Linked DNA regions of Drosophila melanogaster. The protein of the gene in region 3 interacts with the protein of the main gene of each other region in a pairwise test. Each region holds a gene or a part of one and is shown on either strand. Other genes may lie near its edges. The genes, in order: uri, corolla, Pp1alpha-96A and Nop17l.

Region 1 (4,649 bases), on a different chromosome or scaffold from region 3:
ATCAGCCTAAGACGGCCAAACCGAAGGAGAGAAATAATAACAACGAACAAAAAACCAATGGGGCTCCGTCTACGCCAATACGTGCTCCTCCCGGCTTAAAACCTGGCGGACCGCTAAAGCCACCACCAGGATTCGTGTCCAACGTGACTGTTAACTCGGTGGCCAAGCTGCCCAACAATCTCACGTTCACCAATTCGCTGGGCGAGTCGTATGACATTGTACCCAGCCCCTATACGTACACCGATCCACCAGATACCGAGGTCAGGAATCAGGTAAGCTAACGTCGTTTGCCAATTAGTTAGAAAACATTAACTTAAAAAGCATTTGTCTTGCGTCCAGAAATTGGTTGATGAGGTTATGTCCCTGCTCAAGACCCCAGAGGCGTTGAACGAATTCCGCTTGCTTTCGTCTAAGTTCCGCGACGGATCCTGTTCTGGCCAAGCCTATTACGAGCACTGCCAGTGCGCCATGTTGAGCTCATTTTACAACCTGTTCCCGGAGCTGCTGGCCATGCTGCCGGACATAAGTAAGCAACAGGTAAGACCCGTTTGCAAAACCACATAATAGTAAATAAAGAGTAACTCCATTATTTGCGCCATTTCCAGGAACTTTACCTAGTGCACAAACAACACCTGAACAGCTTGCCGCCCGCCGAGCGCAAATCCGTGCCCGCGCTTGAAGTTTGCAAGGTGTGCAAACAGATCCTCATCACCGCCGACTTAAAGAGCCACCAGCAGGCGCATGAGCTGACCAAAAACTTCCCCGTACTCGGAAGCTCAGCCTCTAACACGCACCGCAATTGAGGTGGTCGGATTGTAGGACAACAAAAGCTTTATCCCTGTATATTTTCTATGTACATATATACCGTGTCAACCATCTAGGAACCATGTCCCCAGATCATGTTGTGAGTGGAAACCCGAAAAAGAACTAGCCGAACCCATCAGTCCATGTAGCGCGACCCACGAAGCCATCTGTTCAATGTGACTTAGTCCGGACAGAAGCTTATCTTGGATGCGTTTCTAATATTTACGAGTGAGCTTGTGTCTAGCAAATGCCCGCAACCTAATAAAGTTCAAATCAATCACAATTATTAGTCGTAATCACCTGGTATGTTTGCCTAACCTGTCGCCCTATCTAATGTCCACATATGGTGGTCGCAAATTGGTTATCACCAAATGGAAATTGGTTGTAGTTGTTGGGTCGTATGGAGCAGATTTATTATCGGACATATGGAGCTCTTCTGCTCTTATCTACGTGGTTTGCTAGCTGGGGAGCGATGCTTGGTAGTTGAGTTTTCTGATTTGAGGAAAAGTAGAGCTTTTGTCGAATATGAAATTCGAGAAAAGCTCATTCTCCATTTTTCTACATAGAATTATTATGAAGGTAGAAATCTATAAAGGCGCGCAGACTCGCGTTAGTACATTTTTAAATAAATCAAATTTAACTAACACTGTTTTGTATTAAGTTTTTATTACGTAACACATAAATGTCTGAATCCATATTAATTACTGGTTATAATGTTACTATAATTATTTATATGAAAATGCATTACTGAAGATTATTTTTTTTGGATAGACCTACGGTCACACTAAAGTCGCAAACAACAATAACAATGGACCGGCGAGAGGATGCTCTGCTACAGGTAATGTTATTAATTACCATATATGAATGGAGAAACTGGGGTAATTACTTTATGGAACCCTGTACGACAGGCCCTCCAAACGAACGCCAGCGAGACAGAGCGCTGGGAAGCCTTCAAGCGCGATAATGAGAGCACCATCCGGAACTTGGACAAGTTCGCAAAGAATCTCAGCGTGGAGGTTATGGTGCCCATTGGACGGAAGGCGCTGATGCCCGGCGAGCTGATCCACACCAACGAGCTTCTGGTGGGTCATTACGAGGGCTACTTCTCCGCCTGCTCCTCCCACAAGGCCAAGGAGATCTGCCAGTACCGCCTGAAGCTGGCCGAGGAGCAGCTGAAGAAGCTGGCCGTGGAGAACGATCTGTGGCAGTAAGTGTATCAGTAAATAGAAGTAGGGAAGAGTAATGTTTACGCTCCTCCAACAGGAAAAAACTCCACACTCCATTTGCGGAGGGGGCGGTTCCCAGTGGCGACCAAGTAGAAATTGTGGAGGATTTCAACGAGGAGTCTCACAACAAGTGGTTGGCGGAGCACAGAAAGCGAATGCGACAGCAAAAGCAGAAGGAGCGCCTCGAACGGGAGGCGGAACCTGTGAAGAAAGATAATGAAGTGCTGCGGAAGCTAGAAGAGCGAGAAATGATGGAGGAACTTGGTCTAGATCCAGATAATATCGACGAGGATCAGCTGCACGATATGCTGAATCAAGAACCTCTGAAATCCACCAACGAAAGTAGTCCTAAATCCTTAACCCAGGAAGAGGAGGATGAGCTGTGGAAGAAGCTGGAAGCCGAGGAGCAGAACGAAGCCGATGAGCTCAGCTCAGAAGCAGAAGAAAGCCTTAAAACAACGGATAACCTAGTGCGCCAGCTCATGTCCGGAGAAACAGAAACTCCATCTTCCAAAAAACGCACTGCAGGAACCAATAGAAACGTGGAAATACAGGATCCCATATCGGAAGATGATGGTGATGATGATGATGAGGGTGACCAGGAGGAAGAGGTGCGAACCATACGGGAGCAGATGTCGCTGCTACCCAACGAAGATCGTGAGCCGTTCCTCAGAGCTCAACTGCATGTACTTAAAGCAAAAATGAGGAAGATACAAAAGGTCAACTTTATAAGCGATGAGCTGATTCACTTGATGAATGTGGTGGTCATGCTAGAGGACGACCTACAGGACTTGGTATTTGAGCAGGAACTGGAGGCCAGCGAGGAAGAGGAGGAGGTTGTCGAAAACAATCATCTTCCAGATGAGCCAAGCAAAGAGCTTTCGACTGTATCTGAATCCAGCACAAATAAACGTCGCATTTCGTTTGCCCTCGACGACGAAAAACTTGAATTCAGAAGGGAGGAGACCGTTGCCGAAATGTTGCCCAATGCGAAAAAGAACTCGAGGGATATCATCAAGCTAAATGCACCTCTTAAACCGGCAGGAGATCCACAACCCGCATCCATTAAAACAAAACGTCAAACAACCCAGGATATCTTGCAAAAAGTAGAACGAAACATTGAGTTTGTCAAGGAAAACCAGAGTGTCCAGGACTTCGATTTACTCAATCGAATTATGGAAGAGTCTACGGGACTCATAAACACTTTACACATAAGTTTCACACATTCCGGTGCCATACCTTCGCCCAGTAGTGATCAAAGCGATGGCATACCTGGAAAGCCCTCTGATTTCTATGTGAGGTATGAGAAGGACCGGGCGCGGCCTAATGATTCGTTTCCTATCTATGTGAACGGCTTTGAAGGCGAGGAGCACGTTAAAGTTCCCATAATGAGCGAAGCTGCACGTGGATCAGCCTATGAAGATCCCAGAAGTCAGGTAAGATCATGTTAGTTCGATCAGATCATAAGCTAACGTCCTGGCCTTGCAGTTCTCCAAGCCCAATTCTTCGGAAATATGTTTCACACATTCCGGCTCCATAACTCCGACCAGTAATGATCAAAGTGATGATATACCTGGAAATCCATTTGATTTCTATGAGAAGTATGAGAAGGACCGAGCGAAGTTCTCCAAGTCCAATTCCTCGGAGGGCGACGCTACTGACCCTGAATCAGCGACCAAATCGATCCTACGAAACAAATCTGCTGTGGACCTGGAGCCGCATAATGTCAACCAGCAGCCCAAGAAGGGCAGGAAGGTCCGGAATCAAAAGAAGAAGGAGCGCACCCTAGACGATGACCTGCGCGACATGAGCGCCTACCAAAAGGTCATGCATGATCTTGTGGAGAAGGAGCCGACTGCACCGGAGCCTCTGCCACCGGGCAAGTTCATCGACTCGCATGCGCCAAAGAAGCGGGTTAGCCGCTTCAAGGAGCAGCGAGCCCTTAACAAAACGTAGCGAAGAGTAAAACTTCAGCTGGATATTACTAGTATATTTGTTCAAGTTTAATGTGAATTTGTATTACAAACACAACGCAAACAATAAACAACTACTGGTGTGGTGTACATTCGTTTTAAAATTAAACACTAGGTACTAGTCCGCTGAAACGGAATTTATTTTTAAAACATTTACATTTACAGTAGGCTTCAATTTACATTAGATCAGAATGAGAGTTTTTGATTCAAGAATGTACGCGATTGAAGGACCTGGCCGCCCGCACGTGTGCGCTATCTTACAGGCTATTCTAAAGTACATATTAACAGCTAATACATACAGTACGAACCCTAAGCATAAGTGTAGTTGGACGCTCTACTCAAGGACACAGCCCATTCCATTGTGTTCAATCATGGTCTACCGAGAATCAAATATGTCTTGAGTGTCTGGCCAGCAGGATGCAGGGATGCCTCCAACGCGGGGTCTCATGGCCCTGTCTGGTGTTCACAGATGCTACAGAATTTCTACATGTCAAAGTCCTCCAGGCCGAGGAACTCCCTTTCTAGAGCGGCGCCCATCATGTTCCATTCGCCGTCGTCCTCGTCCTCCGGTTCCTTCTCGCTGTTGGACTCGGATCCAAGCTCCAGGTCGGAAGGCAGGTCTTCCCCTGGAACATTGATGCAAATA
Region 2 (4,763 bases), on a different chromosome or scaffold from region 3:
ATGTAGTATTATATCTGGTTAATTGCACTCAACCAGCGTAGAATGTAAGGCATCATTTCTGTAGCTTTAGTTTTATCCTTTGAGTAATTGATGTTTGTATTGGTCAATTGCCACAGCTGAAAATAGCCTCTCAACTACTCTTCCAATCATCTTAATTCATAATATTCGTTCTTACGTACGTACGCCATTGTACATACAATTATAATGAGCGAACATTATAATTAGTAATGGAACATGCGTACGTATGCAATAGTAAACATCCATTATAATTAGCAATGGGAACCTGCCGTTTCCACTACAAAATAAAATCATTTATTGGTCAAGATATGAAAAACGCACATTTGGCTTGCATTGGGGTTCTGGCGATCTTCCACATCTAATTGAATGTACTAGTATTCTCGAGTTCGTTGGGAGTTATTATTTTATGTGTAACCTTTCAAAATGGAAACTTTCCAATGGAAAGTGAGCATATTTTTAAAAAAAAATCCAAAAATCCTTTATCAATGACCTCTATAAGTTGCTTAACATTTATTTAACTTTCGTTCGACAATCAGTGATAGGTTCTGCTCCTTGCTCATCCTCTACAGACCGGCCTGCAGACCAAAGCCAGGACCCTTGGGCTCCTCGCTCAGGGAAGTGGGCTCGCCCTTTGGCTCGCTGGCAAAGCGTCCGTTGCGTGGCCCAGGGGGCGATATCTTATCCGCCTTCAGGTCGTTCAGGATGTCCTGCATGTCCTTGGATGTCAGATCCTCCTGCAAAGTAAAAAAAAAACGTTAGCAATGTTTGCACAATATAGAGTCGATTTCAGCGCATTAAGATTGAAACGCTGGACGAGGCTGAGAGTGAAACTGGCGTTTCCTACAAACAAATGACCAGGAAACACATTTAGCAATTAGAATTGCTTACATAGTAGTCATCGTTGATCGCCACCATTGGCGCATTGACACAGGCGCCCAAGCACTCGACCTCCGAGATGGTGAACTTCCTGTCCTTGGTGGTGTCGCCGACGCCGATGCCCAGCTGCTTCTTGCAGGTCTCCAGGATGTCGTCCGATCCGCGGAGCCAGCATGGTGTGGTGGTGCACACCTGGATGTGATACTTGCCAGTGGGCTTGCGCATGAACATCGTATAGAAAGTGGCCACCTCGTAGACGCGCATATTGGGCAACTGGAGAATCTCGGCCACCTTGTGCATGGCAGAGATTGGCAGCCAGCCGTACTGGCGCTGTGCCAGATCAAGCAGCGGGATCATGGCGCCGCGCTTGTGCCCCTCCGGATAGATGCTGAGTATGGCCTCCACGCGCTTCTTGTTCTCCGCCGTGAACTCGAACGGGATGTTGGGATTATCCTCCGGTGTGTCGCGATGGACGAACAGATTGTCGCTGGCCCGGGCACTGCTGGTGGCAATTGCCCGGATGTTGGCGCGCTGCAAATAACAACACATATCCTTAATGTTATTGTTTTCCTGTCGCCAATTATATAACTCGGGGAACAGGTTGCCTTCCCTGGTTGACACCGCGAATTACTGGACAGTTTGGATGGCTGCGCTACTCACCACGGCGGCCAGTGTTTTGGAGGCACAGTTTGTCAGCATTCTGGCGTTTCCAAAATAATGAAAAGGCTGAAAATTTGCTCTTATGTTATGTGAAGTCCGTCGGCTGCTGTCAGTTTTTTTTTAACAAGCACCGCTTACAGCTGATTTTCGGCGGAGCGTTTGCCAACACTGGCACTTGTCGTCAGAGATGAGCAAATCTCTACAAATCTTGTACAACATTAATAAAAAAAAGCTTAAACAAATAAAACTTGTAATTAAATTAATATTCAGCGGTACGTTACATTTTTTTATTCCTTTTTAAAATAAGTTTTCTAAAACAGTAAGCGATATATATCGCTGTGACTTCAGTATCTATGACACTTTTCAACAATGATCGCTGTGCCTTAGCATTCGATATCCGATAAATTACTGAACGCGCAAACTTGTAAGCTTATCGGGGGGAAACATTGAACGGACAAAATATGGAAAAATATCCACTTGTCAAAGAATTTATGGGGCAAAATTGGCCAAAAGATACCAAAATGGCGCAGCTCGAGAAGGAACTCAAGAAAAGGAAAGAATTGATCGTCGAGGAGCAGAGTGAGTGGGCATAATGCGCGAATCTCCAAGTAAGATTTATACATACATGTTTCTGCTTGTTCAGTTGTAGGGCCGCGTTTGGAGCAGGTGCTATTCGACCTGACCTTGGTCAAGCAGTGCGCCTTGGTAGTGGAGGATAACGGTGCCGGTATGGCACAGGCCAACACCATGATACAGGACTGTATGTTCCAGATCACGCGAATTGAGGAGCTGCTCGAAATGGCCGGGCTGCAGGACATCCTCTACTACACGGTGCATCGCAAGGAGCAGGAGTTCCAGCGCAAAATTAAGCTGCAGGAGGATTTGGCCGAGCAAGAGAATCAGCAGAACACAATCCTCGAATCGCGCAGCATCGGTAAGATTTTGTATGAGGTATTATTGAATACGGAATCCATTTGAATGCTATATAATCATAAACAATAAAAAACATTTTGTTTAATATTTTTTACCCTATGTGATAGTATAAGTTCATTTGTGTTATTTAAATGATTCTCAAGTAGCTTCTATTTCAGTCCAGGAATTCCGAAAAGAGCAAGCCTTAAAAAAAGAGGCAGATAAGGAGCTAGCCTCAGTGGACGACCAACTGGACCAGTCGGATCGCGAGTGGACAATTACGCTGAGAAGTATGACGGATAAGCTTAATAAGAAGATAGTCAGCGTTTTACAGATGGGAAAGCTGATAAACGAATTGAAGGAAGAGGTGAGTAGCTGCGAAATATCCATTCCAAGTGAATAACTTTTCCGTTTTTCAGTTGCAAAAAAGGAATTTGATTAAAACGGGTGTCACTAAGGGCGCTGAACCAAGTTTGGCTGGTGTTCCATCCGCTAGCACCATTTCACCATTTCAGTCCGCTTCGGATTTCCTCAACAACTTCATCTTTAAGAATATCAGACCAGATGACAATAAATCCATGACGAGCGTGAATAGAGAGATCACTACTAAGAAGCTGGAGACTCCTCTGCGATCCATTTTGATCAAATGCAAGGAGGTCGAGTCTGTTGCCATTTCCAACTCGCCAACAAAGCAAGTGCGTTTTTCTCCCTATCCAGAGATAAGCCATATCGAAGAGGAGAAATTTGAGAAGACCGATTGGCTTTCTCCTTCAGAAGAGGCAGGTGTCCCAAATGCGGAATTAGAAGAGGACAGTGACGAAATGGAGGCCACAGACGAAGATTTTGAGGAAATATCAGAAGAAGAATTCGAAATGGCGCTGAAAGATGAAGGATTTGAGCAGGAGGTAAAAGTAGAAAAGTCAGAAGAGGTTTTGCATCTAGAACAGGATAGATATGATGAGAAATCTGGCTCAGAAGTCGAGGAATCCGTATCGGATGACAAGGAATCCGGAGGGGAGGCTTCAGGAGAGGAGGAGCCGGCTGATGCGGCCAAACAAGTAAAAATCGGCGAAAACCCGAAGACTGATGAGCAGCTATCCAATGAAATTTCCGATAAACCACAAATAATTAGAGTCGACACTCTCTCTCCCTTCAAAAACATATCTTCCTGGGCCAGCGACGATATACCCAGCACCTCCAAGGGCACTCTTAATCGTTTTACTGCAACCCAGTTTATGAACTATGGTAGCAATCGCGATGAAAACGAGGCGCCGCCTTGCAAGCGACTAAAATTGGAGGAGGAGGAGTTCCCAATGAGCCAACCAATGCCGGATTACTTTAAGCATCCGTCGTCCACATTCAACAACTTTGATGATCAATCACTTCGATTCAGCTCGCCCCACAACAATTTTGACGATGATTACCTGCTGAACTTCAGCGATGATAATGATGTTACACCTACTGCCGCCTCGGCGTACATACTTTAAATTGTTAACGTATTTTGGTCAAAAATTAATGTATGTTCTTTATAAGAACGGACAATTAATTAATATCCAGATACTTATTCATTCATTGCCATTTGCAATCAAAAAAAATTTCACTTCAGCTAAATTATTTGTAGCTTTATAATGAAATTAATTTGCGTACATAATATGCATATGTACATTTAAATCATACGTATTCAGTTCGAAAGTGCCGTTTCAGACTTATTCTTCATTTTGTCGTTGCTTATAAACTAATAAAACAATAAATTAAGACAAATTCGTGACTTTAAATATTTAATTTTACTGCAAACAGTAAATTTTACCACTTGCAATAAAATACTTTTCTCATTACAGCATATAAATCTTTATTAAAAATGTATATTATAAAATAGGGGAATATGAAGACTACTTAATACAATACATAGTGTAAAATACATTTATATATTTAATCTAATATATATTTAACTTTAATATTTCATTTGTAATTCTGGGCGCCAATGGTTTGAGTCCAAGCTTTAATCGATTTGGTATATTTATGGTTTGTTTTGGTATTTGTCAGCATGCATCGCGCTTAGTATTTTAACCCATGCTGTCGATACCACGAGTTTGTTTTACAAAAATTGAACCAAAACCCAAAATAAATGGCTCGGAAACGAAAGATTCCCGTGCGCAAGCACCACGGCGTCCGTGATCCCCTCAAGCAGCTGGAACAGAAGGAGAAGAAGTTTGTTCATAGTGGCAAGTCAGTCGAAAAAGGCAGCTAAACTAATATCTGCACCATTTCACATTTCAGACTTTCCAAAGTAACGAACA
Region 3 (6,322 bases):
ACTCCTGTGGAAGTACCATTACAATTTATATCCTTTCAGGACATTAACAAGAGGCTGGAGGGCCTGAGCCACGCACTCGAGCAGAGTAAACAGGCATCCGCCAGCACGCCTCCGCTGGAAGATCGGGTGGCCACGCCGTGTCTGGAGGATCTGGAGCGCATACTCACTGAGAAGGTGGCAGAGATTGGAAAGGTCAGCGCACACAGGCTGGAAGAGGTGGTCTATCACCTTGAGGAGGGCTACAAGGAGAAGCTAGGGGCACTGGAGCGAGAGCTCAAGCAGCTGAGTGTTCAAAAGGTGCAGCCAGAGCCTGTGCAGACTGTGCCAGTTGCCTCGAAAATACCCAAGCCGGTGGTTCGCAAGGAGGAAACCAACATTGATCGGATTCGCAAGCAGGTGGAGAGCGAGTTCCTCAAACAGAAACATGACGATGACACCTATTCCATTGAGGAGGCGCCACGAAAAGGTTCGGAGAAACCATTCCCACAGCTGGTGACCCAAGTTCAAGTGGTGGAAAAGGAGCAGCCAAGTGCTGGAAGTTCGGACAGCAATCCGACTTATACGAAATCTCCAAGGGAACCTGCTCCTAATAAGCAGGAAACGAAAGAAGCCACGGACGTAAGCGATAGTCTCAGCCAAGAAGAGACGGAGAACGAAGAGGAGCGCAGCCTGACAGAGGAGGAGGGGACCGATGTTCCCACCTCCGGGTCGGAAGCAGCACGAGAGGATCCAACGCCAAAAACAATCAAGCCTTCTGGAAGAATCATCAAGTGAGTGTTTCGATGTTAAGCTTTCTTAGAGTAATAATAATCCACATGTTTTAAGGAGCCCTCAAAAACCACTTACTCGCAAGGATGCCCGGAAGATGGTCAACCGGAAGTTGATGTCTCACGGCTTCGATATGAAGTCCAAAGGTATTTCGCATAACTCTTTGAAGAGAGTGAACTCCGAGCTGACAGAGCACCGCAACAAACTGAAACTGGTAAGCCTATAACTGCCAAAAACTAATGAACTTTTGACAATTCTGGAATACCCTTTAGCAACATCCACATTTTTACGCCACTCGAAATCGCATCCGCAAGTTTGTCGAAAAACTGTGCTCCGCCAAGTTCTCGGAACGCGCGGAAATGTTGCTGAAGCACAAGAGTCCACTCAAGCCAATGGAGGTTCCAGGCAAAGGGATCCCGAGGTCTGCGATCTCTGAAAAGTCTGAAGAGGATATAGCCAGCTCTCAAGGCGAAGAGCAGACGGATGAGCAAACGGATAGCAGCGAACAGCAAACTCGAAGCCCCAGTCCTCAAAGACTAGTTAGTCGCGATTTCAAGGCTCGTCTGGAGGAGATCCTGGTCAAGCCGGCGGCCACTATTCGAGGAGCTTCCAAGTCGTCCCTGAGTTCGAGGCCAGTTCCGCTGCCCAGGAAGCGGGTGATGTTCAACACCACGGAGGACGGGAAGAGCTTCAATGACAGCGATGATAACCTAAAATGAGTCAATAAAGATGATATTATAATACTTTGGGTATAAATGTCAACGATACGTTTAATAGCCAATATATCATAAGATAATTATATTCCTTTATGAGTACCTATCACCTGTTCAATGTACCGTACTTAACTAAAAAATATTGTTTTTTAAATGAATTTGCATATTCCGGTCACACTACCTTTTACCGATAGCTGCGCGCCGTGCAATGGATAGGCAATCGATAGGCAATCGACTCGCGCTGTAAACAATCGACGTCACTAACCAACGTAGATGAAAATTTTTTAGTACGTCGCGAGTAAAACGTGCATTAAATGCAATAAAAGGGCAGCTGGCTAAGGATCGGAACGATTGAAGTCAGCCAACCTCAGAGGGGTGAGCAACCGAGGCAGTGAATCCGCGAATCCGTGCATCCAGCTGACCAAAGGGCGAGATTAGCCCAGCACCGAGTTTCCATCCGCACACGGACACGGCGCACACACACACAGGCACACGCAGCCCGTGCCCATCGATGAAATAACATACATAACGAACGTATACCGAAAATACACGGGTTACGGGAAATAGCAGTTGCTGCAATCGGCGGATAAGCGAACTTCAGGAAGCTGAGCAAGCGGGCCCACAAAGATGTCGGATATCATGAACATCGACAGTATCATCTCGCGCCTGCTGGAGGGTAGGTGTTAGGGCTCCAACTTTTGATTACCTTGCCCCCACCCATCATCACCCATTCCCCACATGCCTTGCCACCCAACCACCGCCCACTCTCATCACCTTAACGTAAATTTTCCCTGCTTGGTTTTCCATTGCAGTGCGCGGTGCACGACCGGGAAAGAATGTTCAGCTATCAGAGAGCGAGATCCGCAGCCTGTGCCTCAAGTCCCGCGAGATATTCCTGTCGCAGCCCATACTCCTGGAGCTGGAGGCACCGCTGAAGATCTGCGGCGACATACACGGACAATATTATGACCTCTTGCGCCTGTTCGAATACGGCGGCTTTCCGCCCGAGTCAAACTACCTGTTCCTGGGCGACTATGTCGATCGCGGCAAGCAATCCCTGGAGACGATATGCCTGCTGCTGGCCTACAAGATCAAGTACGCGGAGAACTTCTTCTTGCTGCGCGGCAACCATGAGTGCGCCAGCATCAATCGCATCTACGGGTAAGTGGGGAGGCGGCTCCAAAAACAGGATGAAGCTTGATGAAATGGTTAGCAATCTGTTCAGTTCAGCACCGAAACAATTTGCTTTCCTGCTTAGATTACTGAAACTCATTTGATTACAATTTATATTATTCTTACGACTCGTATTTACTTCTGATGACTATGTACTTTTATACATGCTATAGAACTTATAGTTGTTTATTGTTTACGTGAGCTTTAAAAATTTCCCAGACATATTGATGTCTACTTATGCTTCCAAGCTTATTAATACTTTCTAGTTTATTGACGCACACAACGATATCCATTACAATTAAATTAGCCATACTTCAAATACATAAAGTAAATGCCACATTCTATAGCAATAATCCATAAAATTACTCAACTAATTGCACTTAATTGGCAGGTTCTATGACGAATGTAAACGTCGCTACACCATCAAGCTGTGGAAAACTTTCACGGACTGCTTCAACTGCCTGCCGGTGGCCGCCATCGTGGATGAGAAGATCTTCTGCTGCCACGGTGGCCTGAGTCCAGATCTGTCGTCCATGGAGCAGATACGACGCATCATGCGTCCCACAGACGTGCCCGATCAGGGACTGCTGTGCGATCTGCTGTGGTCGGATCCGGATAAGGATACCATGGGCTGGGGCGAGAATGATCGCGGCGTGAGCTTCACATTTGGAGCAGAGGTGGGTTCTTCGCATTACACTGTTCGCCACAATGTTGTTTATGCATTCGCTCTTGCAGGTTGTGGGTAAATTTTTACAGAAGCACGAATTTGACCTGATCTGTCGGGCTCATCAGGTAGTGGAGGACGGTTATGAGTTCTTCGCCAAACGTCAGCTGGTGACGCTCTTCTCGGCGCCCAACTACTGCGGGGAATTCGACAACGCGGGTAAGTGATCATTGTTCGGGGACTTTAGTCGGAGATAAACCTTGTTTATTTGGAGAACAACCACGTTGCACCCTTGTACTCGGTGATTTTGCCTGCCGATAAGCTGTCGGCAAGTGAAAGCTGGCAACCAGATTTAAATTCAACTCGGAAAATGCGCATTTAAAAATAATCAATAATCAATACCGAGAATGAAACTACCTATGCACGACACCCGCTTCTAATGAATTGATTAATCATTATTGATTACGTTTACAGGTGCCATGATGTCCGTGGACGACACATTGATGTGCTCCTTCCAGATATTGAAACCCGCCGACAAGCGACGATTTGTTTATCCCAACTTTGGCAGCTCAGGACGTCCTTTGACACCGCCACGCGGAGCTAACAATAAAAACAAGAAAAAATAAACACTGCACACCTCGAACGAAGCACAACAACAACAGCAACTACAAACGGCCACACACACAAAACACAAATAGGGAAAACAGAAAGGAGAATCCGTGTGTCCACATTCAACGGAAAGCGCAGAGAGTTTGTTTTTATCATAAACGTGTAATCGAATCGTGAGCAACGTTATATGGGGAATATGAATCTACACAAATTAGCCTATCTTTCATTTGAAAAGGAAAAAAAAACAAAAACAAATAAGGAAAACGAAACGAATGAAATGAAATTAAGAAACCAGAAAACACAAATCGAGACACTTTAGTTCAAACTAATGGTAGTGTAAGACACTGCATAAGCAAGAATATTTTATCTCCTAATGTATTAATTTTGTTATAATATTTCCTTGCGCAAAACCCACACACTCACACACACACACACACATACACATGCTCAGATCATCCGTACAGTAGGTACCATAAGTGCACGCACCGGTTGTATTTTAATTTGCATTTCCAACTCGCACAGCATTTTAATTATGTATGCCGATCCTGGCGGCACCTTTGGCAAAGGTCTTTAACCACACTTCCCTTCTTCCTTGTTTTTTTTTTTTGCGTATCTAAGGGAATATTAGCAAATGGTAACAATGTTAAATTTTATGTTAATTAAACTGTACGAGAATGCTTTTAAATGTGAGTTGAGGTTACTACATATTACATATGTATGTACTCGAAGCACGATTTATTTTTGTAATATTTGACATCGATACATGTTTACTTAGTTTTAAAACGAGGAAAGCAATTTTAGTTGCAAGCTACAAAAGCTTGAATTGTTTACACCAAAAATATTAAAATAAACAAATATTGTGAATATTTTTTAACTGTTTGCATTACACAAACACACACATACAGGCAAGCACGCACACACGATTTTAAGGAGAACCCTGAAAAGTATGTTTATATAGACAAAAATAAACCCGAATTGAAAATCTACCTTAAGGCGAACGCTTTTGAGCGGCACTGTGTGCTCTCTGCTGATGTCAGCGACGAGGCAGATAATGTTACCCCCTTTTAATCCCCCGCCCAGACGAAAGGAAAGCAGCGGCCCCAGACCCATTAAGTGCATGTGAAACTCACACGAAATATAGAAAAAAAAATCGAAACAAAAATAAGCAAGTAATAAAATATTTGTAAACAGCAGCGCAACAAACACAGACACAAACACTGTTTATCGTACAAGTGTACACTTTTGTGTATTTTGCATTCTACGACTAACGTCGCAACATTCTAGTGCTAAAGGCCGCCACATTCAATTACAAGTATTATGCCCAGGCAGGCAGGCAGCGATCCGGAGCGATGCAGCCGGACGCAAGTTACCCAAAATGGTTTCGTTTGTATAATCCAATCCAATCCAATCCCCGCCCGACAACCAAGCAACCTACTAACAACAATCGTGTAACCTACGGACAAAAAAAAAAAAACAAAACCAAAAGCAAAGCATGAGTCCTCTTCTATTTCACACTCTAGTACTCTGTTCAATGTTGTAATGAATTCAACGTATATTTACGACTATATATGTACTTGTAATAATGCGATCCAGTACGACATCGGCTGTTTTCAACCCCCAAAAAACACAAGTCATAAGAAATCTATAACGTAATATCGTAAAATTAAAGTGTAATTGACCCCAAGAAGGAAATTAGAAAAGACAGATGGGGTAAATTTATAATGCATTCAAAGCGTAAATTGCAAAAAAAATAAAATACAATAAAAAAATAACAAACAAAAAAATCATTTAAAAAAGAGCTAAAAAATGAAACAAAAAAATACAAATTAAACAAAATGAACACAATGACGAAGCACTTGTAACAAAATAGCACTGTTTTATTAAAAAAAAAATTGAAATACATACTAGCAATAAATATGAAATTCGAGATGTGTTTTTACTTGAGTGAAATGCATGTTAGTTTCTTGTTTAAAAAAGCAAATCTATTATTTATTGTCTATATAGTTGGTGTTACAATCTAAAGCATTTCGAGGACTTTAAAATCTTATTTATAACTTTACTTTATGTTGCTTAATATATTGCACTAAATTTACTTTGTATAGCACTTTGTGTTTAGTTATATCGCAGTGAGCAACTCTTTCCCAAAGGAGCACATGTGCCACCCGTGCCCCTGCCATGTCGCTCATCCTCCTGGAGCCTCAGCTGGAGCAACTTCTGCCTTAAGGCATAAGGTGTGGTGGTGGTGCTGCTGCTGCTGCTCCTCGTCACTTCCTGTTGCCTGCTCTCATTGGCGCGATCTTTGTTCCACTTGTCCGAGTTGTTGAAAATGATTTTATCATATGCCCGCTGCAGGCGCAGCTTATCCTGGCGGACATCACTGAAGCATTCGCTTGTG
Region 4 (7,667 bases), on a different chromosome or scaffold from region 3:
GCAGAGCGATGACCAGAAAAGGACCCAGAACGGCGACGAGCATCTTGCTTATGCTACTGGTATCCGCGGTTATCACCGTCACATCATTGCTGTCGAAGGGCAGCAGTTCCGGAAAGTCTCCCTCATTGCAGTAATCACCGGCACAGCAGACCACATTCACGAACTTCCCCGTATTGCGTTTACTGGGCCCGTTGATCTTCAAGGAGTTCTGGCTGCAGATCATGGGCAGTTGATCCGGCGAGGTGCTGCAGCCGCGTGACTCCTGCACCTGACCATCGGCATCGCGTGTGCGCGACTTCCAGCACTGTTGAAGTTCGGAAATTAAGTTACATTTAAGTTTTAATCAAGTTTAAGGTGGAGTATTCACCTGAATCGCATTCTGGCAGGTGTGGGTAAACTCATAGGGATCCCGACAGGGCGGCTCGCAGGAGTAGCATTTGTATCTGATAAAAAAAAGAGAGAGTTTAATAAGATTGAAGAAGAATCGGTTACGCAAACGGGCAGCTTTTAATTGTTAACATTTGGGTATAAAAGTATAATATACTATAAAATATTTAAAAAAAATGGGGTTTTTTAAGTAAAATTATGAATATTTTCAAAATTTTAACTAAAAGTTAACCAGTTTATGATGTTTTAGTTCATGAGTCGTGTAGGTTTTACCTTCTCTTCATGCGGCGCTTACTCTTAATGTGTCTCCTAATTAAGGATTAGCAGCATGGCAATTAGGAGGGAAATGAGATTAGCAATACAAAGCCTTTGGGCGGAAGCGGGAGCTACAAGCTATGGGCTCAAGACTTAAGATATAATCACCTGGGATGCGTCTGCACCGAGTTCTGTGGCACGGCCGGTAGCTCCTTGCCATTGAGATGGGCGGATGAGGCGGAGGAGAGCTCCATGTCTAAGTCCGGTATGTCCTCCCGCAGATGATCGCTGATTTCGGCTGAAACATAACAAATGCACATTAAACCATATGCACATAGCATATACATATGTACACACATGGACGGCCCAACCAACACAAACGCCACCAGCACTAACACACACACACACATGCACACAGGCGCCCCAGCAAGTTCTGTATACACACACAGAACGGTGGTGTGCGTGGGTAAATCATTGAGAAAATGCACTTATGCTGCAAACGCCCACGACATCCGTTTATATAATACATTCTGTGGGATCCATCAGGTGCTTCTTTCACCAATCAGCATTCCGAGGGCACTTTTTTCGCCTTGGCCTGGCCAAATACGCAACGCAATTGGCCAGAACCGCAGCATATGAAAACAAACCCAAAACACTCAGTGACTTTTCAAGGCATTATATGTGGCTCTAAAACCCCATAAAATCGAAATTTCTCTTGCGCACTCTCTTCACCAAGCACTTGGTAATTGATTAACACTAATTGATGCCCACCTCTGGCATTATTGTACAGCAGAAACGTCAATAGAAAAACTAAATATATATTGGACTCCATTGCTAGAAATGTTATTTGTCCGAGCCTATCGGAACCTATCGATATACTTCTAGCGGGCAGTGTGACCAGGGCCCACATCTGCACATAACATATTTCACATAAAATACCGGGTCTTCAAATTTCCCAAATCCCCTGCGTAAAAATACCAAAGCACAACACGCACACCAACACGAGCAGCCGGTCAGCGGAAAAGTTTCTAGAACGTCAAACTCGAACTCCCATCAAAGAGTCTTTGGCAAAGGAGCCCATTTAACAGACAATTATTTTATTCAGTGCCGTTGTGTTCACAAAGCATAATTGTGTTCAATTTAGGTAAGTGGAGAAGCAGGAGATCTTCAGTGGAGGAGTTTTCGTGCCATTAAGTTGTTTTCCTGAGTGAAATTAACGGATTTACCTACCCGGTGTCATGGAATATAACAAAACATTTGCTTAGTTAGGGTTTTCATGTCCACTGCGACCGGTTTGTCCAGAAAATCAATGGGTTTCAGCTAGTATCGATCAAACGACAGAGTTTTCCCCCTCCCACAGCGCAAACATGTGTTTTTAGTCACGTAACTGTTATAATTTTCCTCGTTTTCCTTGCAATGGAGAAGATACACACGCCGTAGGGAATCATCTTACTGACCCCCCAATTACCACCCCCGCCCTCCTGCACATATATGTATGTACATAAGTTTGTAATATCAGTTGGCAGACGCAATACAAACATTATCTTTGTATATACATACATATGTGTGTAGAGATGTGGTCGTTTATTGTACAATTAGTTGGGTTGCGCCAGAAATCGCATAATGTGTGTGTGAGCGCAGGGGCTGCGGGGGCAGAATCCCGCTAAACAAAAACAATTGGGGCAAGTGGTTTTTTTCGCGCTTATCAAAAGCCCCTCACTGCGCAGAGGACGCTCTCTCTGTGGGCCGCTCGACTCGCAAAGAGCCTCCAATATTTGCCGGCGTTTCGGGCGTAGCGCTCCCATTCTCATAAAAACGCTCGTCGGGAAAGCATCGCACCAAAACTCGAAAAAAAAAACAGAAAACATTTACGCGTTCTCCTAGAATTTCACAAACTACGCAGTTCGTTTATTTATTTATTGGCCGACAAGTAAAAAAAAAACTCGTGGTCAGTTTGTAGTCATCTACACACATGTGTATCTACTTACATAATGCCCGTAAATCCGGCGGATAGCCGGTGATTTTCGACAGCGACCTTTCTGCGTCATTGATTTAATATTTATTTGCCTATCTGCTGATTAGAATTTGATTAAATGCCAGCTCGGTGTTTTTTTTTGGCTGCGAAATGGTCAGGACCTAGGGCAACCTTGGGACCTGGTACTTACTTGGCTTATCTCAGATTCGATTGGAAAGTTTCCAGAGTTTCGCCAGGTTCCGCAAGATTTAGTCATGCCCTCAAGGTTTATTTGCAAAACTATAAAATAGCCAGGTATACATAGAACTTACATATGTATAGCCGAAACAGAAAAACTAGTAATTTTTCCCAAACGACTTGTCTTGTTGTTATTGCAGTTATACATTCGTAATATAAGATAGCTGATTATCTTACAAGATTGTCCGTACTTACATCTATGTTTATTTGTACTTTCAGAACCTTCCAGAAATAGAAACCCAACGCATTTGCCAAGGAAACGTGGCCCAAAACTGAGCAACCCCTAACAAATAGAAACAAACAAAAAATCAAAACCCGTCGAAGTGATAAGAAAATTTGTATTTGTGTAGTAAAAGTGCCGAGGAGAGAAGAGGAGACCGAAGAGATCCCTCCGTGAGTGAAGTGTGCCTGCGAGAAAGCTATGTCCGCATCTAGATCGCGTAATAAACAATCCAAACTTTGTGACGATGAGCGGCTCGATATAAGCAGGGACGAGTTCAACCGATTCCAGGAGGCCTTTGGCAAGGAGGAGTTCCGCAAGCTCTTCTTCGACTACGTGGATGAGATCCAGGATCCTGAGAACCGCAAGATCTACGAGTCAGAGATCACGCAGCTGGAGAAGGAGCGTGGCGTGGAGGTGAGGTTCATCCACCCGAAGCCGGGATTCGTGATCAAGACCGCTCTAGATGGCGAGCTCAAGTGCTTCATCAACATCGCTAGCTGTGAGGAGATCCAGAGGCCCAAAAATGAGGTGGCCACGGATCCGTCGAGTGGTAGCCGGGGCCTGAGCTGGTCCATTCCGATGGCCCAGACCACGTCGCGCGATGACTTCGATGCGAAAAACAACCACTGCAAGGTGTTCGACGTCGTCTTCCATCCCGACGCCCTTCACCTGGCCATGCGGAACAAACAGTTCCGCCAATGCCTCATCGATACGGCACTGGACGCAATCGAACGCGAGTACAAGGTCTCGCTGGATCGCGCCAACCTCAAGTTCCCCAAGCTGGACTACAAGGGTATTCCCCGTCCCACTGTGATACGCAAGATGGCCGATAATCCCACGGCCGAGGAGCAGGAGCCACATCCCCTGGCGCACATGTTCCCCACAAAGCCACCCGCTCCGGGGAAACAAGAGCCCCGTGTCCTGCCCATGAAAACGAAACCCTCTCCGGTGCCGGAGTTCACGGTGCCCAGGTATACGATCAAGCACAGCCACGACGTGGACTTGTCCGAGTACACGGACGAGCTGGATGCCAAGCTGCACGTGACCGTTCCTCGTTCTCTTGTCGTGGAGATCGAGCTCCCCCTGCTCCGCTCGACAGCCGAGTGCCAGCTGGACGTCACCTCCAAGTCCATATACCTGTTCAGCGAGCGACAGGGCGCCAAGTACCGCCTGAAGCTGGACCTGCCCTTCATCGTGGACGACAAGGCGGGCCGGGCCCGCTTCGACACGGATATGCGTCGTTTGAGCATCACGTTACCTGTGGTCCGGAAGAGCATCCAGGAGCAAGCCCAGATGCACGAAACCTTGCGCCACTTCAGCCGCGAGGACAGCGGCGTGGAGCTGCACTCCAATAGCGAATCGCCGGTGGAGGAGGATCCCGATGGCGAACTCAGCGATTCCAAGGCGGATATTTCCGAGACTTGTAAGTAAACCATTAATAATATCATATTTAAGAGTCTGTAAATATAATTAACAATGAAAACTTGTAAATCTCACGTACAAGGGGTCATCCATTCCATCCATTATTATTAATTATTATAATAGGCAGTTGTATTATGTATGATAATATTATAAGATAATATTGTGTGGATCGAACTATTTTCGATTAAAAGCTTTTAAGTTTGTTTAATTTGTGCGAAGAGAATGGTTGGCTTTTGGATTGGATTGTTCTTTTATTTTGATACTCTTTCAAATAAATATATTAATATATATATATTTGTGTGATCCCTCAGCATCGCCCAGTGTCGCACCTGCCAATAGCCCGTTCCTGAAGAGCTCCGTGCACTACCAGCTGCCCAGCAAGTTCGACTGCAACGTGCTGGACAATGTGATGGCCTTTGTGCTGCACGTGCCCAACGTTCAACCGGACTCCATTGAGCAGTTGAGGGAGCAGCGGAGCCTGCACCTGAAGTTCGCCACCATCGGCAGTGGCTACTATCCCACCCACTACGCTTTCTACGTGGAACTGTCGGCGGAGCATGAGGATTCCTCCATCGAGAGCGCGGAGGCAGAGGCCTGGGACAACAATGTGGTGCTCAAGCTTTGTCTGAATTCGCAGAGCGAGACTCCGGCTAGCTACCTGGCCGGTCTAGATGCCACGGAGCTCAAAGAGTACCCAGTTCATGGGCAGTACCATGTGAAGAGCAAGGGAAAGGTTAACGCAAAGAAGGATAATGCTCCGCTCGATGTCAAATTCGAGCGCAACCAGGAGGGCCATGCCCTGAAGGTTACCATTCGCCCCGGAACAAAGGAGGAGGAGGAAGATAAGGAGAACCAAGACCAAGAGCCCGAAAGCGATCAGCAGCAGCAGCAACAGGTGCAGAACAAGAAGCCCGGCAAGAAGCAACGGAAGAAGAATAAGAAGGAGCGCTCCCTATCCGAATCTGCCTGCGCAGATATGATCCTCCAGGAGCCACTGGCTAAAACTAATGAGCTTCAGCCGAGGGCCACGTTTAAGTTGCCGCCGCAGCGCAAGCAACGCAGCTACTCGGAGTGCAACGATAGCACTGGCCGCTCTCATCGCGGCATTCTCAAGCGTTTCAGCCGCTACGGGCCCCGACCCTCGATGTCGGACAGCTGGTCGTCCATTGACGACTCCTCCTCGTACTCGTGCTCCGTGGATGCATCCGGAACATCGCTGTTCTCTCAATCATTCGGCGGCATTCCCGAGGAGGACCGTTCGGATGCCGGGCTCTCGGAGAGCTGCAAGAAGACTGTTAGATTTAACGATCACATTATGAAGCAAGTGTTCCGGTAAGTACCAGCTAGAACCCCTGATAATACTCGGTAATTTGACAATTTACTCAATCGCACAGACTCGACTCCAGCATCCTGGGTCAGCGCAAGAAGAACCAGAAGCGACGCGATCTCAAGCTGCGGGCTCAGCAGCGTCGCCTCAGCGAGGGCGATTCTGTCGACTACGAGGAAACCCGGGGCTCTGCCCTCAAGGTGAGATCAAGATCTAGTTAATTGAGCGAATATCCCGTCCAGTTAGCGGGCAGTTAGGCTGTTAGCTTGCTAATTGAATTATGGCCCATCAGCGAAATCGGGCAGTTTGGCTTTATTTTCGTCACACCAGACATAAATATTGATCAAACCTTTGTTTAGGGAATTCTAGTACCCGTGTGCGAAATCTAAACAAATCCGAAATGAGCTTTATTTATAGCAGGAATATATGCAGCTGCAGCAAACTCCAGGGAATGGAAAGTTTTTGCACTTGTAGACAGTAAATAATCGCAGAAATGTTAACATCAGCGTGTTAGCTTGTGATAATACATCTCAATATTTCAAATTTGTGTGAAAATTGAGCGAAAAATTATTAGTTGGTAGTCTGACATTAATGCAAATGTTTATTCTAATTTACAGCAAGAAGAAAATCCGTCAAGGAACTGCAACGATAGCGGATTGGATCTCACTGGAGCAGCAGGTGCCCACAGCAACAACAATGAATCGGATGCTAAGAACACCATGATGTTTGAAATGGATGATTAGGATGTTATTTAAACCATAAATATATTCATATTTTTTGAGTGATTTAGTGGCATGTTTTCAAGGTTTTTAAATGCTACTACATAAATGTTAACTAACGCAACGTTTTTTTTTTTTTAATATTTATACTGTAATTCCTTTTATATCGAGGCGAATTGCTCAATTGGAAATACACAAAATTGTATTTAGGCAACACGAATCAGGGCTAAATCAGAAATCAAAATGTTCATTACATCAAATACTAAGTGTTATGTAATTCGGTTAAACATTGAAATTGTTAAAACGCAAGATGAAATCCTACGCTGAACTGAAAAAGAAACCTATTATTATAGATCGATAATTTCATATTCATTCTCATTGAAGAACACACAACAATGATGTCTTACAAGTTAGCAAACTACAAGTTTTAAGTAAACATTAAAACGCTTGTTTATTGGCTCCATGCTCAGCTCATATAACAATCATAACACGATAAACCTAAACAATATCAATAGTTAACAATTCCTCTAGTATTACACACAACAAAATCACCCAATGCATAAGTAGAGTATAAGCTACGTACATGTTTAGAAGCACTGGCTGAATCAATGCATGTAATTTTAACTTTTATAAGCGAGCTGCAAGTTAAAATACATATACATCTCTTATGAATGAGAAATCCAACCTGCATACGAGTATTGATTGGCATTAGAAGTGGTGTTCAAGGAGTTTGTTCCAGTGCTCGATTTGCTGGAGTTCCCTTCGCTTTCCCTCCAAGACATACAGCACTGGGCAGTCGAGGGAATCACACTGTAGGCTACCCAGGCGTCCGCAACAAGCCTGGCATATCTGCCGAGTTAGTTGGTAGCCCCTCTCCAGACGCGCTGTCTTATCTGAGAGCACAACTACGCACGTGGTGGCGTTTTTCAGGCAGTCTGGGCAAATGCCCGCCTTGGTTTGGCGGCCACAGTCGATCACGCAGCTGGTGGTAGAGAAATACTGGGAGATGGTGGACTTGGCACCGCGTGCACCCGCCAATTCGTTGGCGGTTCCAACGGCCGGCGTCATGAGCAACTTCCTCGGCAGACTGGCAAACCAGTCGTGCACATTGGCGCCTATGAG

Evidence for each region.
Region 1: the proteins of Pp1alpha-96A (region 3) and uri interact in a two-hybrid assay, tested with the Drosophila melanogaster proteins (2 studies listed by BioGRID).
Region 2: the proteins of Pp1alpha-96A (region 3) and corolla interact in a two-hybrid assay, tested with the Drosophila melanogaster proteins (2 studies listed by BioGRID).
Region 4: the proteins of Pp1alpha-96A (region 3) and Nop17l interact in binary tests that used the Drosophila melanogaster proteins (3 or more experiments, as listed by UniProt).

The regions. Positions count from the first base shown.
Region 1 is NT_033778.4:24,563,974-24,568,622, forward strand, and holds uri (unconventional prefoldin RPB5 interactor), read left to right. Parts: upstream 1-1,580; 5' UTR 1,581-1,612; coding exon 1,613-1,642; intron 1,643-1,712; coding exon 1,713-2,011; intron 2,012-2,067; coding exon 2,068-3,466; intron 3,467-3,518; coding exon 3,519-3,986; 3' UTR 3,987-4,109; downstream 4,110-4,649. Other genes in the region: CG11414 (uncharacterized protein), read left to right, coding at 1-272, 340-537, 606-803; Fcp1 (TFIIF-interacting CTD phosphatase), read right to left, coding at 4,487-4,629. UniProt on the Drosophila melanogaster protein: Inhibits the activity of serine/threonine-protein phosphatases flw/PP1beta9C and Pp1-87B. Required for germ line cell viability and differentiation, normal transcriptional activity and maintenance of DNA integrity.
Region 2 is NC_004354.4:17,629,252-17,634,014, reverse strand, and holds corolla (corolla), read left to right. Parts: upstream 1-1,967; 5' UTR 1,968-2,015; coding exon 2,016-2,133; intron 2,134-2,197; coding exon 2,198-2,488; intron 2,489-2,645; coding exon 2,646-2,833; intron 2,834-2,885; coding exon 2,886-3,953; 3' UTR 3,954-4,224; downstream 4,225-4,763. Other genes in the region: ND-24 (NADH dehydrogenase (ubiquinone) 24 kDa subunit), read right to left, coding at 582-752, 907-1,425, 1,555-1,593; CG8326 (uncharacterized protein), read left to right, coding at 4,592-4,674, 4,744-4,763.
Region 3 is NT_033777.3:24,516,551-24,522,872, forward strand, and holds Pp1alpha-96A (protein phosphatase 1alpha at 96A), read left to right. Parts: upstream 1-1,719; 5' UTR 1,720-2,108; coding exon 2,109-2,157; intron 2,158-2,293; coding exon 2,294-2,642; intron 2,643-3,045; coding exon 3,046-3,331; exon of another isoform or gene 3,332-3,389; coding exon 3,390-3,537; intron 3,538-3,792; coding exon 3,793-3,944; 3' UTR 3,945-5,781; downstream 5,782-6,322. Other genes in the region: DZIP1, read left to right, coding at 40-770, 826-982, 1,041-1,487; CG13622 (uncharacterized protein), read right to left, coding at 6,040-6,322.
Region 4 is NT_033778.4:7,800,345-7,808,011, reverse strand, and holds Nop17l (Nop17 like), read left to right. Parts: upstream 1-1,626; 5' UTR 1,627-1,786; intron 1,787-2,445; exon of another isoform or gene 2,446-2,911; intron 2,912-3,073; 5' UTR 3,074-3,275; coding exon 3,276-4,500; intron 4,501-4,810; coding exon 4,811-5,831; intron 5,832-5,893; coding exon 5,894-6,026; intron 6,027-6,443; coding exon 6,444-6,569; 3' UTR 6,570-7,227; downstream 7,228-7,667. Other genes in the region: sax (saxophone), read right to left, coding at 1-304, 368-443, 661-696, 811-940, 1,414-1,474; PolZ1 (DNA polymerase zeta subunit 1), read right to left, coding at 7,254-7,667. UniProt on the Drosophila melanogaster protein: Required for cytoplasmic pre-assembly of axonemal dyneins, thereby playing a central role in motility in cilia and flagella.